3 linked regions of the Oryctolagus cuniculus genome follow. The protein of the gene in region 2 interacts with the protein of the main gene of each other region in a pairwise test. Links are inferred from orthologs where the notes say so. Each region holds a gene or a part of one and is shown on either strand. Other genes may lie near its edges.

Evidence for each region.
Region 1: the proteins of STX16 (region 2) and VAMP5 interact in binary tests that used the Homo sapiens proteins (3 or more experiments, as listed by UniProt). The two-hybrid records come from large-scale screens. The link is inferred for Oryctolagus cuniculus from reciprocal best matches to the Homo sapiens genes STX16 and VAMP5.
Region 3: the proteins of STX16 (region 2) and NAPB interact in binary tests that used the Homo sapiens proteins (3 or more experiments, as listed by UniProt). The two-hybrid records come from large-scale screens. The link is inferred for Oryctolagus cuniculus from reciprocal best matches to the Homo sapiens genes STX16 and NAPB.

The regions. Positions count from the first base shown.
Region 1 is NC_091433.1:117,064,177-117,068,381, forward strand, and holds the start of VAMP5 (vesicle-associated membrane protein 5), read right to left. Parts: upstream 2,853-4,205; 5' UTR 2,728-2,852; coding exon 2,725-2,727; intron 1-2,724. UniProt on the Homo sapiens protein: May participate in trafficking events that are associated with myogenesis, such as myoblast fusion and/or GLUT4 trafficking.
Region 2 is NC_091442.1:3,594,810-3,599,020, reverse strand, and holds the start of STX16 (syntaxin-16), read left to right. Parts: upstream 1-1,396; 5' UTR 1,397-2,111; coding exon 2,112-2,243; intron 2,244-4,211. UniProt on the Homo sapiens protein: SNARE involved in vesicular transport from the late endosomes to the trans-Golgi network.
Region 3 is NC_091442.1:47,609,049-47,612,621, reverse strand, and holds part of NAPB (beta-soluble NSF attachment protein), read left to right. Parts: intron 1-2,106; coding exon 2,107-2,223; intron 2,224-3,573. UniProt on the Homo sapiens protein: Required for vesicular transport between the endoplasmic reticulum and the Golgi apparatus.

The sequences.
Region 1 (4,205 bases), on a different chromosome or scaffold from region 2:
AGCCAGGTGCCTCTTCCTGGTCTCCCATGTGGGAGCCAGGAGCTTCCTCCAGATCATCCTATGTGGGTGCAGGGGCCCAAGCACTTGGGCCATCTTCTGCTTTCCCAGGCCATAGCAGAGAGCTGGATCAGAAGAAGGGCAGCCGGGACTAGAATTGGCACCCATATGGGATGCCGGCGCCGCAGGCGGAGGATTAACCTACTGTGCCACGGAGCCAGGCCTCAGTTTGACATCTTGAGCAGTAATAGCAGCCACCGTTCATTCAGCACGTGCCCTGAGCTAGGCACTGCGCTGCTGGCTGTTCATTTGTTCCATCTCCATCTGATGTATCCCTCACACCAGTCCACTGAAGACAGCATTACTATCCCAGCTTTACAGGAAACTTTGGGACAGAGATGTTAAATCACCAGTCACGGTCAGAGGGAACAGAAGCTCTGGGAGTTGAACCAACATAGATTCCGGGGATCAGCATCTCAACCCCTGTGGTAAATTAGGTGCAGGTAAAGGGAGGTTCAGTGCTTTAGCTGGCCGGCTGAAGACCACCACACCTTTCAATGCTTGTGTGCATATGAGGGAGGCCTGCGGCTCCAAACACAAAGTCTTTGGAGAGAGGCCCATTTATAAGATTAACTCAAGTAATTACTCATTCACCTCTGTCTTTCCCGTACTGCTTTGCTCCTCCCTGATCCCCTGTGCCTGTCATCACAGCTGGCACAAAGGAAATGCCCATGAAATTATTGCTGAATGAATGAGTCACAGAAGAGAAAAGTAGAAAAAGAAGAAGGATCGGGTAGGAAAAGGTGAGGGGGAAAAGGAAGTGAAAGAGTTTCGGAAAAAGAAAGGGACAGGAGTGAAAGAAGGGATGGGAGTATGAGGCTGGGAGACAGCAGGCTGGGGGAGACAGATCAACACAGTCAGCCCTCCGCATGTTCTCCATCTGTGGGTCTGACTACCACAGACCGGAAATATTTTGTAAAAATGGCATCTGGGCGCCGCTACTATGACGTAGCAGGTTAAGCAGCCATCTATAGTGCCAGCATCCCATATGATTACCGGTTGGAGTCTTGACTGCTCCACTTCTGATCCAGCTCCTTGCTAATAGCCTGGGAAAGCAGCAGGAGGTGGCCCAAGTCCTTGGGCCCCTGCACCCATGTGGGAGACCCAGAGGAAGCTCCTGGCTCCTGGCCATTGCAGCCATTTAGGAAGTGAATTAGCAAATGGAAGATTCTCTCTCTCTCTCTCTAACTCTGCCTTTCAAATAAATAAAATAAATAAATCTTTAAAAAAATTACATCTATAGAAACATGTACAGATTTTTTGACTTGTCATATTATTCCCTAAACAATAGTATAAAGCATTGTATTAGGTATCCTGAGTAATCTAGAGATGACTTAAGTCTACAGGGGAATGTGCACAGATTCTATACAAACACCAGGTCATTTTGTAAAAGCGACTGGCGCCTCTGCAGACTCTGGTGTCCATGAGTGTCCTGGAACCAATCCCCGGCGTATATCAACGGGCGACTGTGTATCTTCTTCAGACTCTAATGCTCTATTTGTTCAGGTCCTGAAGCTTTTCAGTTTCCCCCAACAAATTATCCTGGCCTCAGCCTTCATTTCAGGAGTTTCCTCTTCAGCTGGGAAGCTAGGGGTCACTTAAAAGCCCACCCCTAGCCCTGCCAGGTCCCTCATCCTGCACGCTCAGAAGTGGACTCTGGGCTCTATTCTCAGGGCCCCGCTCAGTTTCCTGGCATGGCCTCTGAGTTCAGTGCTACCTTCCTGCTCCACTTCCTCTTCCTGCCTGGTTTCCCTGGGGACCAGGCCATGCATCAGGACCCCTAGCCAGGCCACATCCATCACTCCTCTGCCAACTTCTCCAAGGCAGAACCTTAAAGCACCAAGCCTGCTTCCTGCCTGGCTCACCTTCCCACAGACCTCGGGGCAGGGGAATAGTGGGGAGGGGAGTGTGCTGGCACCAGCTGTCCCTAACATCTCAGCTTTGGCAAGACTGGACAAAGCCAGAGACTGTAGCCAGAGCGGGGGTGACTCAACCCAGGAATATGTCACTAGGTAGAGGTTAGGAAGGGATCGGGCCATACTCTGATAACTTCAATGAACTTTTACATAAACACTTTTCTTCCCCGAGGGAGGGGGAGTGTCTGTCCTCCTCCACCCTGCCACGGGACTGGAACCACTAGCCATCCGCTCAGGTTTCCAGCTCCAGGGCCAGGCTTGGCTCCTACCGCCTCGGGGAAGGGCTGAAGAGGTCATCGCATTACCTACCACTCCTTAGCAGTGAGTTGAGTGCCAGGCGGGTCTCGGCCATTGCACCCAACAAGGCAGCTATTGGTGACCCCACTTCTCGGATGCGGAAAAGGAGACTCGGGGAGGTTAAGTGACTTGCCAGGGGTCACAGAACCGGGATCCCAACTCGGAGTCCTACTCCAAAGCGGCGCTCCCAGCTACTTGGCTCCAGAAGAAAGGCAAGCTCGAGCCCCGCTCACCGCTCACCACGCGCTGCGCGGGGCAGCCCCACGGGGCGCACGCCCCCCTCTCCCTCCCGGGCTGCGAGCGCGGCCGGGGGAGTCTGGCCCGGGTCCTGCTCGCAGCCGCCAGTCACCTCGTCGGGTCCGAGCCCACGCCCCTGGTCTCGGACCTGTGATGCGTGGTCTGACCCCTGCGCTGGCCCTGGGTCCCTTGCCCGCCCGCCCCGCCGGGGGCTCACCATCGCCGCCGCTGCCGCCGCCTCGCCCGCGCCCGGCTGCTCTGCCCGTGGAGCGGCAGCGGTGCCAGCGGCCTGGGAGGAAGCGGGACGGGGCGGGGCCGGCCGGCGGGGGCGGGGGGCGCGCCTTCCGCGAGCCGAGAGAGGCGACGGGGACCAAGACAAACCGAAAGCGGCCAGCGACAGCGACCCAGGTCAGTGGGGGCGCCTCCTGCCGGGCCGCCGGCGCCCGACTTGCAATGACACCCCAACCTGGTCAGCTACTGTGCTTCCGGGCGCCAGCCTGCAGGTTGAATGCAGTTCAGAGCCCAGTGGGTGAGATGGGCATATGGAGCCGGTCCTGGAACCCTCTTTAGTGCTGCATCTGACACCCTGTAGGTGAGCTAGGGAAGTGTCATCCGTTCATTCAACAAGCATCTGTAGAGTGTCCTTGTCAGGCGCTGGCGGCCCTGAGCAAGCCAGGTAGGGTCTCAGTGGTTGCATCTCACCCCAAACCAAAGCTGACACATAAAAGTTTTGGAACTAGAGAAGTGATGCTTGCACAATATTCTTCCTTTTTAAATTATTGTTTTTTTTTAAAGATTTATTTATTTATTTGAAAGTCAGAGTTACAGAAGAGAGGCAGAGAGAGAGAGAAAGACATCTTCCATCTGCTGGTTCACTCCCTAAATGGCCACAACAGCTGGGGCTGTGCCAGGCCGAAGCCAGGAGCCAGGTGCTTCTTCCAGGTCTCCCACATGGGTGCAGGGGCCCAAGGACTTGGGCCATCTTCCACTGTGTTTACCAGGCGCATAAGCAGGGAGCTGGATTGCAAGTGGAGCAGCCGGGACTCAAACCAGCCCATGTGGGATGCTGGCGCTGCAAACATCGGCTTTACCCTCTACAACACAACACTGGATCCTTAGATTATTAATTGACTATTTGAAAGCCAGAGCAATAGAAAGAGATCTCTGATCAGCTGGTTCACTCCCTACATGGCCACAATGGCTGGGGCTGAGCCAAGCCAAAGTCAGGAACCCGGAACTAGATCTAGGTCCCCCATGTGAGTGGCAAGGACCCAGCTACTTGAGCCCTTATCCCCCTCCCCATGTTGCCCAGGGTCTGCATTAATAGGAAGCTGGAATTGGAAGCACAGCCAGGACTCAGAGCCAGGTACCCTGACAACGGGATGCAGGCATCCCAAATAACATTTTTTTTTTAAAGATTCATTTATTTATTTGAAAGGCAGAGTTAACAGAGGTGGGGGTGGGGAAGGGTCTTCCATCTGCTGGTTTACTCCTCAAATGGCTGCAACAGAAGGAGCTGGGCCTATCAGGAACCAGGAGCTTCTAGGTCTCCCACGCAGGGGCAGGGACCCAAGTACTTAGCCAAGCAGCGTTTTAACCACTGCACGACATTCTGAATACAATACCTGTCTCTGAATTGTACGTGTTGAAATGTTATACTCTAAGTCCTGTGAATCTCACCTCAACTTAAGAAGAAAG
Region 2 (4,211 bases):
TCTGTTGGTGCACTCCCCTCCCAAAGCCCAGGCTGGGCCAGGCTGAGGCCAGGAGGCCGGGGCCCCCTGGACGGGGGAGGTGGGCCCCAGCCCCAGCTCACCGGCTGACCGCTGCGCCTCGGCCTGGGGAACCACACATACTTCTCGCAGCGCTTGCGCCACGCCCGGGGCTCCCCGAATTGCCTGCTCTGCCTCCGGGGACGCTGTCCCCGTGCCCGGCAACCCCCAGCCCCGCAGCCGCGGCTGCTCGGGTGGCGGCGTCCTGCCAGGGCGCACGTGGCCGGCTCCCGCGCTCGGAGCTCGCCCTGCCCGGCTCGCCGGCGCGCTCAGCTCCCTCGTTCCCGCATTGTGCAGTCAGAAACCCTTTTCGCTCTGCTTCGAGAGCCTGCGGGGCGCTTTCCCCTGCCGAGGAAACGCACGTGGGTGGGGTCCGGGGCGCCCCCTGCGTGAGCCCAGGGAACGGACACGTGTGCGCCAGGCGCGGTCCACGCGGGGCACGAGGGCACCCGGCGCGGCGAGGCTCGGGTGTGGACCCCCCTGGCGACGCCAGCCCGCAGCCCCGGGAGCCCCGCGGGCCCCAGAACGCGGGACCCCGGGCCGAGGGCGCGGGGCGCGGGGCGCGGGGCCGGGGCCCGCTCAGCGCACACGGCGGTGTTCGGGGCGGTGGGTGACAGAGTTTTCGGGTGACTCTCCCCCTGGGGAGTCCACAGCCCCGCAGTGGCCCCTGCGGAGAGCGGCGGCTGGGGAGCGCGGGCGACCCCCGCGACCCCCGCCTGCCGCTGGCGGCGCCGCCCGGGCGACCTGGACGCCCGGAGCTCCCGCTTCACAATTTTTTCCTTTTTTTTTCCCCCCCTCTCCTGGTTGTTTTTCAGATACATCTTTTTTTTTTTTTTTTTTTTTCAGAGTTGAAAAAAAAAAGCCCTCCACAACAGAACAGCGCGAGCGCGAGCCGCCGCCCGCAGCGAGCGTGCTCGGCCTGCAGAGGCCGGCGCCTCCCGCCGCCCCCGCCCCCGCGCCCGCGCCGCGCCGCGCGGCTGTGCTCTGCTGGTGCCCAAGTTCGCCTGCCCAGGAACTTGGCACTCGCCATTGCGGGGCCACGGCCCTGGGCAGCGGCCTGCAGCTCGGGGGCCACGCGCCCCGGGCTGAGCGCTGCCCCCCGGGCCCGCTCCCAGTGCCTGAGCCCCGCGGGGGCCGGGAAAACGGGGTGCCCCGGCCATGCCCCGGGAGAGGGCGGAGCGCGCCCGCGCCCGCGCCCGCGCCCGCGCCCGGGTGTGGGCAGGGAGCTCCCGCGCCCGGAACGTTGCGAGCAAGGCTTGCGAGCGTCGCAGGGGGGCACTCGCGAGGGACGGACAGGAAGAGGGCCAGGGGGGACGCCAGAGCCCGGGACCACGGCACGGAAGCGGCCCGGGGCTGAGCTCGCAGTCAGATCCGGGGATGGAGGGAGCTGGAGGAGAGGAGTGAGGAGGCCGGGGAGGGTGGCCCTGCTGTCCTCCTGGAGGCCAGCGGCCTCCTCGCGGCGGGGGAGCAGGCCGCGCAGGAAGGAGAGGGGTCAGGAGGTCGCCGAGCCGCAGCAGGCTCAGCGCAGGCCGAGAAGGGAGCTGCAGGCGCTGTGTAGCCGAGGGCTGGGGTTGGCCAAGGAGGGCCGAGGCCGGGCCTCTGGCGGGGGCAGCGAGGCAGGGCCCGGCCCCGGGGCGCGGCCTAGACGCCGGAGCGCGCGGCCAGGGGCAGCCCGGGGGTCAAAGGCCGTTGGGGGTCTCGGGGTCTCAGGGAGTCGAGGGAGGCAGGGGGCTTCAGGTGCTGCCAGTCCCGAGCCGGATTGGCGAGTTATGCGCTTGTAGATCCAGGGTTGGATTGGGGTGGGGGTCTCAGGGACGGCGGCTGGCCAGGCGAGGATTGGGGGGATTCAAGTGCTTGGAGATCGAAGCCAGGTCTTGGGTAGGGGGAGTCAGACAATTGGCAAGCCTAGGCGGTTATCTGGGGAGGGGTCTTCGCGCCTCGTCGGCTGGAGGCCTGCGGCCTGGCCCAGGGAGGCCGCTGGCGCGAGGGCGGGCCGGCTGGGCCGGGCCTGGAGGCGGGCGGGGGGCCCTGAGCGGGGTCACACAGGGTGAGCCATGGCCACCAGGCGTTTAACCGACGCTTTCTTGTTGTTGCGGAATAATTCCATCCAAAACCGGCAGCTGTTAGCCGAGCAAGTGAGTAGTCACACCACCTCCAGCCCTCTGCATTCACGTAGCATTGCTGCGGTGAGTCTCCCGGGCACGCGCGCCGCGCGCCCCCGCGCCCCGCCCGCCCGCCTGTCTGTCTCTGTCTGTCTCTCTGTCTGTCAGCCGCGCCGACCAGTCGCGAGCGGCCCCGGCCCGGCCAGGGGGCGTCGCCTTCGCCGGGCCCCGCCCCCGCCGACGGCCGGGCCCCGCCCCCGCCCGACGGCCGGGCCTGCGGGAGGCCCGCGGGGCGTGGGGAGGGGCGCGGACGGGGCTCCCCCTCGGGAAGGCCGTGGGCGTGGGCGTGCGGCTGCGAGGAGACGGCCCTGCCCTCAAGGCCCGCGGTTCCTCGGCGCCGCCGGGCTTTGTGCGGGTCGCCCCCTCCCCAGGGCTCGCGGTGCGCGGCCGGAGGCCTCGCGTGTCTCCCCGCACGTCGGAAGGAGGCCCGCCGCGGCGCTGCGTCCGCACCTCCCGCGCGAGCCCGGGCCGAGGCGTGGAGGCCGCGTGAGGAACGCGCGCCGTGGGCTTCGGCGAGGCCCCGGAGCCCGCGGGTTCAGAGCCGAGGCGCGGTGTAGACGGTGCGCCCGGGCCGCGCCGCGAGTCAGATGCTTGTTGGAAGGGATTGCGTGGGCGCATATTTAAACTGCGTGTCTGCACAACCCAGTAGAGCGGGTCGGACTCCGCGCAGCCGCGTGCACGGCCGGGAACGCTGCATCGGGAGCACGGCCCGAGCTCGCGTGGGTTCCTGAAGACTTGGAGGGTGGGCCGCCCCGCCGCTGGGGGCGCGCCCCGTGCCCCTCAGTGTGTTGCAAGCCTTCCTAGATGATCAGAGCCGTCGGATCGCCGAGAATAACCCGGTTTCAAAAGACTGTCTGCCGCCCGCAGCGTCAGTGTGCCTGGTTTTTAGAAGTTAAGTTAGCGGGCGCATTTACGTGTTTTAATATTTTAATGGTGCGCGCCGAGGCACCGCATCCCCAGACCCCAGAGCGCCCGGGGAGCCTGCGGGCGGCTTCCTGCAGAAGCCCTTCTGCCTGTGCACCCGCTGCAGGAAGATGAAAAATCACCAAATCACCGCGAGAGGCCGGAGCACTGGGGCAGAGGGCAGGGCCTGGCCGCTCCGCTCTCCCGGAGCCGGCAGGTGCACGCGTCGCGGCTGTGGAACGTTGGCTGAGTGGCTCCCAGAAGGCCCCGCCGCACTCCCGAGGTTCATCCTGCGGCAGGTCACACAGAAGTCACACCTCGAGTGTGAATGTAGAGCGGCCGTTAGGTGGTAATGCAGCAGTCAGACCAACCGCAGTTGATTACACGTGTGGGTCTTCCTAGCGATGGCACTGAAGGGCTTGGTGGTGTAGTATCAAGAAATCTGTTTCCTATTTAAGTACTTAGCCCCCCTCCAATGAAAGAAGCAAATGAAGCAAGATACTAGTAATTCTTAAGCCTAGTGACAACTATCGCTAGGACATTATATCATTTTACGTACTTTTTCTGTGTGTTTGGAAAATTATAAAAATTTATATTTTGTCACAGTAAAGTAAAACAGCACAATTTGTAAACATCCATGCTAACTTAGGTAATTAACAAGGCAGTAACTAAACTTGAGAATTTAAATTAATTTTAAAACTCATAACTTGAAATTTTAAATTTCCAATTAGAAGAAAAAGCTGTAGAAAGTTGATTTTCGTGTATTTGCTAGACATAGCTAAAAAGAAATCACACCTAAAATAATTGGAAAATTTCTGAAATTTCACATCCTTATTTGAGGAAAACACTGCAAGAATTGGCTGAAAAGTGGCGTGTGTGTCCATCAAACATCTCGGCACAAAACAGCCCTACAGCCATTGCCATTCAAAAAATGAAGGCCCGTTTCTTTTTCTTGTTTGAGGAAAAAACTTGAAATTGGCTTTAGTGATGAGGGTTAGTGTGTCGCTCCGGCCAGTGTGTCAGAAGTAAACACATTCAAGGACAGCCAGCGGAAGTGCAGGCAGCCCCGGCCCGAGGGACCCAGCGGTC
Region 3 (3,573 bases), about 44 Mb from region 2:
GAGCAGCGTACTCGGCGTGTGGGTAGCAGAGTTGGGATTGGTGGAAGAGGACTATAAAAGAGGAGAGAGACAACATGCACCAGGAACATCTATCTGAAGGAACACCTGTGCAGCCCCCGAGAGAGCCGGCCGGCGGTGTGCCGCTCCCCCGCGGAAGTGGGGAAGGTGGCAGGGGGAACCGCCCTTCCACGGAGGTGGAAGGGACGGTAGCCAACCCGGGAAGAACCAGCAGCAAACCTGGGAAAGGCCGAACAGACAAAAGAACAGTGCAGGGTCCTGTGTCGTTCCTCCACGAAGAGGGGGAGCGACACCTCTGTCTTTGTCTCCTTCTCTCTATCTATAATTCTGCCTCTCAAATAAATAAATTAATCTTTAAGAAAAAAAAAGAGCAATCTTCTCTTTCCTTTTTCTCTGATACCTTTATCACCATTAAGCAAAACAAATAAATAATAGTGTTTTATTTTTGAAAGATTTATTTATTTATTTGAAAGGCAGAGCTACAGAGAGGCAGAGGCAGAGCCCATCAGAGCTGGCCTCAGCCTATCAGCTGTTCAGCCAGCTGGTGTGTTCCTAAACTGCCACTTGGTGGTTGGCTGCTGCCCCAGGTACCCCTGTTGCCTGCCCATTACCCTGGCAGAGTCTCTGCCACTCCTTGGGACCACCTGCCTCTTTACAGGCCAGCCATGGTCTCCAGCTCCAGCCCCATAGCCAGTGTCCACTCTGACTAGCCAGTGCCAACCTTAGTCTCTTGTTAATTGCCATAACAAAATACCTTAGGCTGAGTATTGAGTAAACGGTGAAAACTTGCTGCTCACAGTCTGGGGTCTGGGCGGTCCAAGATCCAGGCGCCAGCAGATGCCGTGTCTGGAAGGGCTGCAGTGCAGGAGCAGGGCCGCGCAGCAGCCGCTTGCGTAAGGGCACGGTCCTCCTCCCAGAGGGCCCCTCCTGATGCCCTCGTCCAGATTGCAGCAGTGCCCATGTCACGCTGCACTCACGTGTTTCCACAGCTGCCTGGGCACTCTTCATTGGAGCAGGAACTGAGTGCAGGTCAGGTAGCCACAGAGTGTGCTCACCCTTGCGTGAAGGTTGAGAAGCCTACGGGGGAGTCAGTGGCTGCCTCTGGGGAGGGCTTGGGACAGGGGTCACAGGTGGAGCTTTGGTGGGATTGGGTGCAGAGTCTGTCCTTTCCCGTTGGGGGTTGCCTGTTCCAGACCTTCCTGAGCTGGAGGCACTTCAGGCGTCCCTACCGCAGGGGACTTGCTGCCGGAGGTGGGGAGGCCCTCCCTGAAAGGCCGGGTGCAGCTTCAGCTGTTGTCCCACTGGCCTCCTGCAGGCAGGACAGGCCTGTCACCATGTTCCCATGATGCCTCTCTCAGGGGTCCCTTCCCTCCCTCTTCGGCCACAGAATCTGTGCCCCTGAGGCAGAGTTTGCTCTGAACAGACTCTGTACATTTGTCACAGGCTGTGTCCCAGCAGGGATCTGGGTATTATTTATAGCCACACCTGTCAGGGTGCTCCAGGAAGAGCACAACTTCTAACCCTGCCTGGTACAGAGCAGGCCATACCTGTGCATAAGTTTCTATCAGGTTTTGCTATACACTAGAGGAAAAACTGAATTTTTAGGCTTTTTTATTTTAAGATTCAAAATTGTAGGCCTCATTTTCAGTCTTTAAGAAACTCTCTCCTTAGAGCCTGTCTTAGCAACTTCAGCAATGACAGCTAAGCACAGTGGACGTGGCAAGATAGAAAAGGAGCCGCCAGCACCCTCGCTCTGGGTGTGTTGCCTTTGCTTAGTCACTTTGCAGCTGGAAGGCCCGAGGGTGTGTCCTTTACGTGTTTGCCGAGTAGAATTGAACAGCCCAGAGCCTGGCTGTTCGGGAGGCTGCGTGCCCAGGGCTGGGACGGGAAGGTCAGGCTGCTGTTGTGTGCACCTGGGTGCACTTGACCAAGGTTCTCAGGTGGGAATGCTGCTTTTTAGTGAGGTCCAGCACCTCAGGTGGGGGCCGCTCTGCAGGAATTCATTAATTACGTATGAATCATTGTGGTCGTTGCTTCTTCTGATTGATTGATTGATTGATTGATTGATTGTGGTCTTCTCTTGTTCAGCTGCAGGAAACGCGTTCTGTCAGGCGGCCAAGCTGCACATGCAGCTGCAGAGCAAGCATGACTCTGCCACCAGCTTTGTGGACGCCGGAAACGCTTACAAAAAGGCAGACCCTCAAGGTGAGGCCGCCGGGCACGGGCACACAGCCGACCGTCGGGGGCGCTGACTGGGCCACCGTGCCTCCCGCCTCCAGGCCCGCGTGGGGTCCCTTCCAGTCCTAGTAGAGGAATTTTTGTGTGTTGAAATGATAGTGACTCTTGGGTAAGGATAGCGATTTTTCCTGGTGGAGACTTCGGAGGCTTCTGTGAACAGAAAACGGTTGAAATGTGTCCTGGTGCATCTCGTATCCTGGTGGTTTAGTTGTCAGCACCGTTTTTCCTCTAAGCCACTTGATGTTGCATTTTGGAAATTTATCTAAGCCTTCTTCCATCTTGACTTTATGAACTATGTTACTGATCACAAAAGGCAACTAAGGGCCCCCTTCCATGTGCCTGGTGGATTTTAGGAGCCAGTCAGTGTGAGATTGTGATATCTGTGGTTCAAAACACCTTTTGTTCACACTGTAGTCATTTTTTTAAATGTTTTTTCCACATATTGGTTTTGAGGAAATAATGGAATTGGATATTTAGCATTTTGCAAGTTTCTTTCTTTTTTAGTTGGAAGTGTGCATTAGCAATTAACAGCATTGATTTCTTCCCTCTGGCACACTGCATGGATAGCACTGCGTCTGTTTTTTTCTTTTAGTGGTACTTTCTGTTTGACACAGAAACCCCAACTTTTATGACTATGTCATATAGAAATAAGATATCTTCGAGGGCTTTTTTTATACACAGATAAGTCACAGTTTATTTCTCTAATGACAAACTGGACACAGACCGTGTGAGCAGTGGGAGTAGCCAGAGGGACTCACAGTGTGTCCACCTGTTAGCATACAATACAGGCGTCACAATGCCTGGTGGAAGAGACTCTTCCCGGGACCCAGTCAGCATTCGCGTGGTCATGATACACCGCGCGATACCAAGGGTTGTGTGACCTTGATTGCAGAAAACACACCACACACTTTGGGAGGAAAGGTGCGTCCGCTGCGATGGCGGGCTTCTGTGCAAGCGGGGACAGGCTGCCGTTCTGGTCGTTGTCTATTTGTAAAGTGCAGCGGCGAGTCCACTCTTTAAAATACAGTTTGGGAGGAGATTGCTTTTCATCTTTGCTGATCTGTTTATCTTCATGATTCTTCGGTCAGGCCTTTTCACATCGCTGCCTCTTTCAAACCAAAAGCAGTTGCCCTGGAGCCGTCAGCCATGTGCAGCATTATACATACCAGCGTTTTGGGTCAGGGCTGTGTGCTGGCTCCCCACTTTGGGAAGTAGCGTTGGCACTCGCTGGGGTTCTCCCCTTCCTCTGTAGATGTGTTGGGACAGGACAGGCAGCACCCCGGACGTGGGACGCTGGCTCTGCTGCACTTGTTCCAG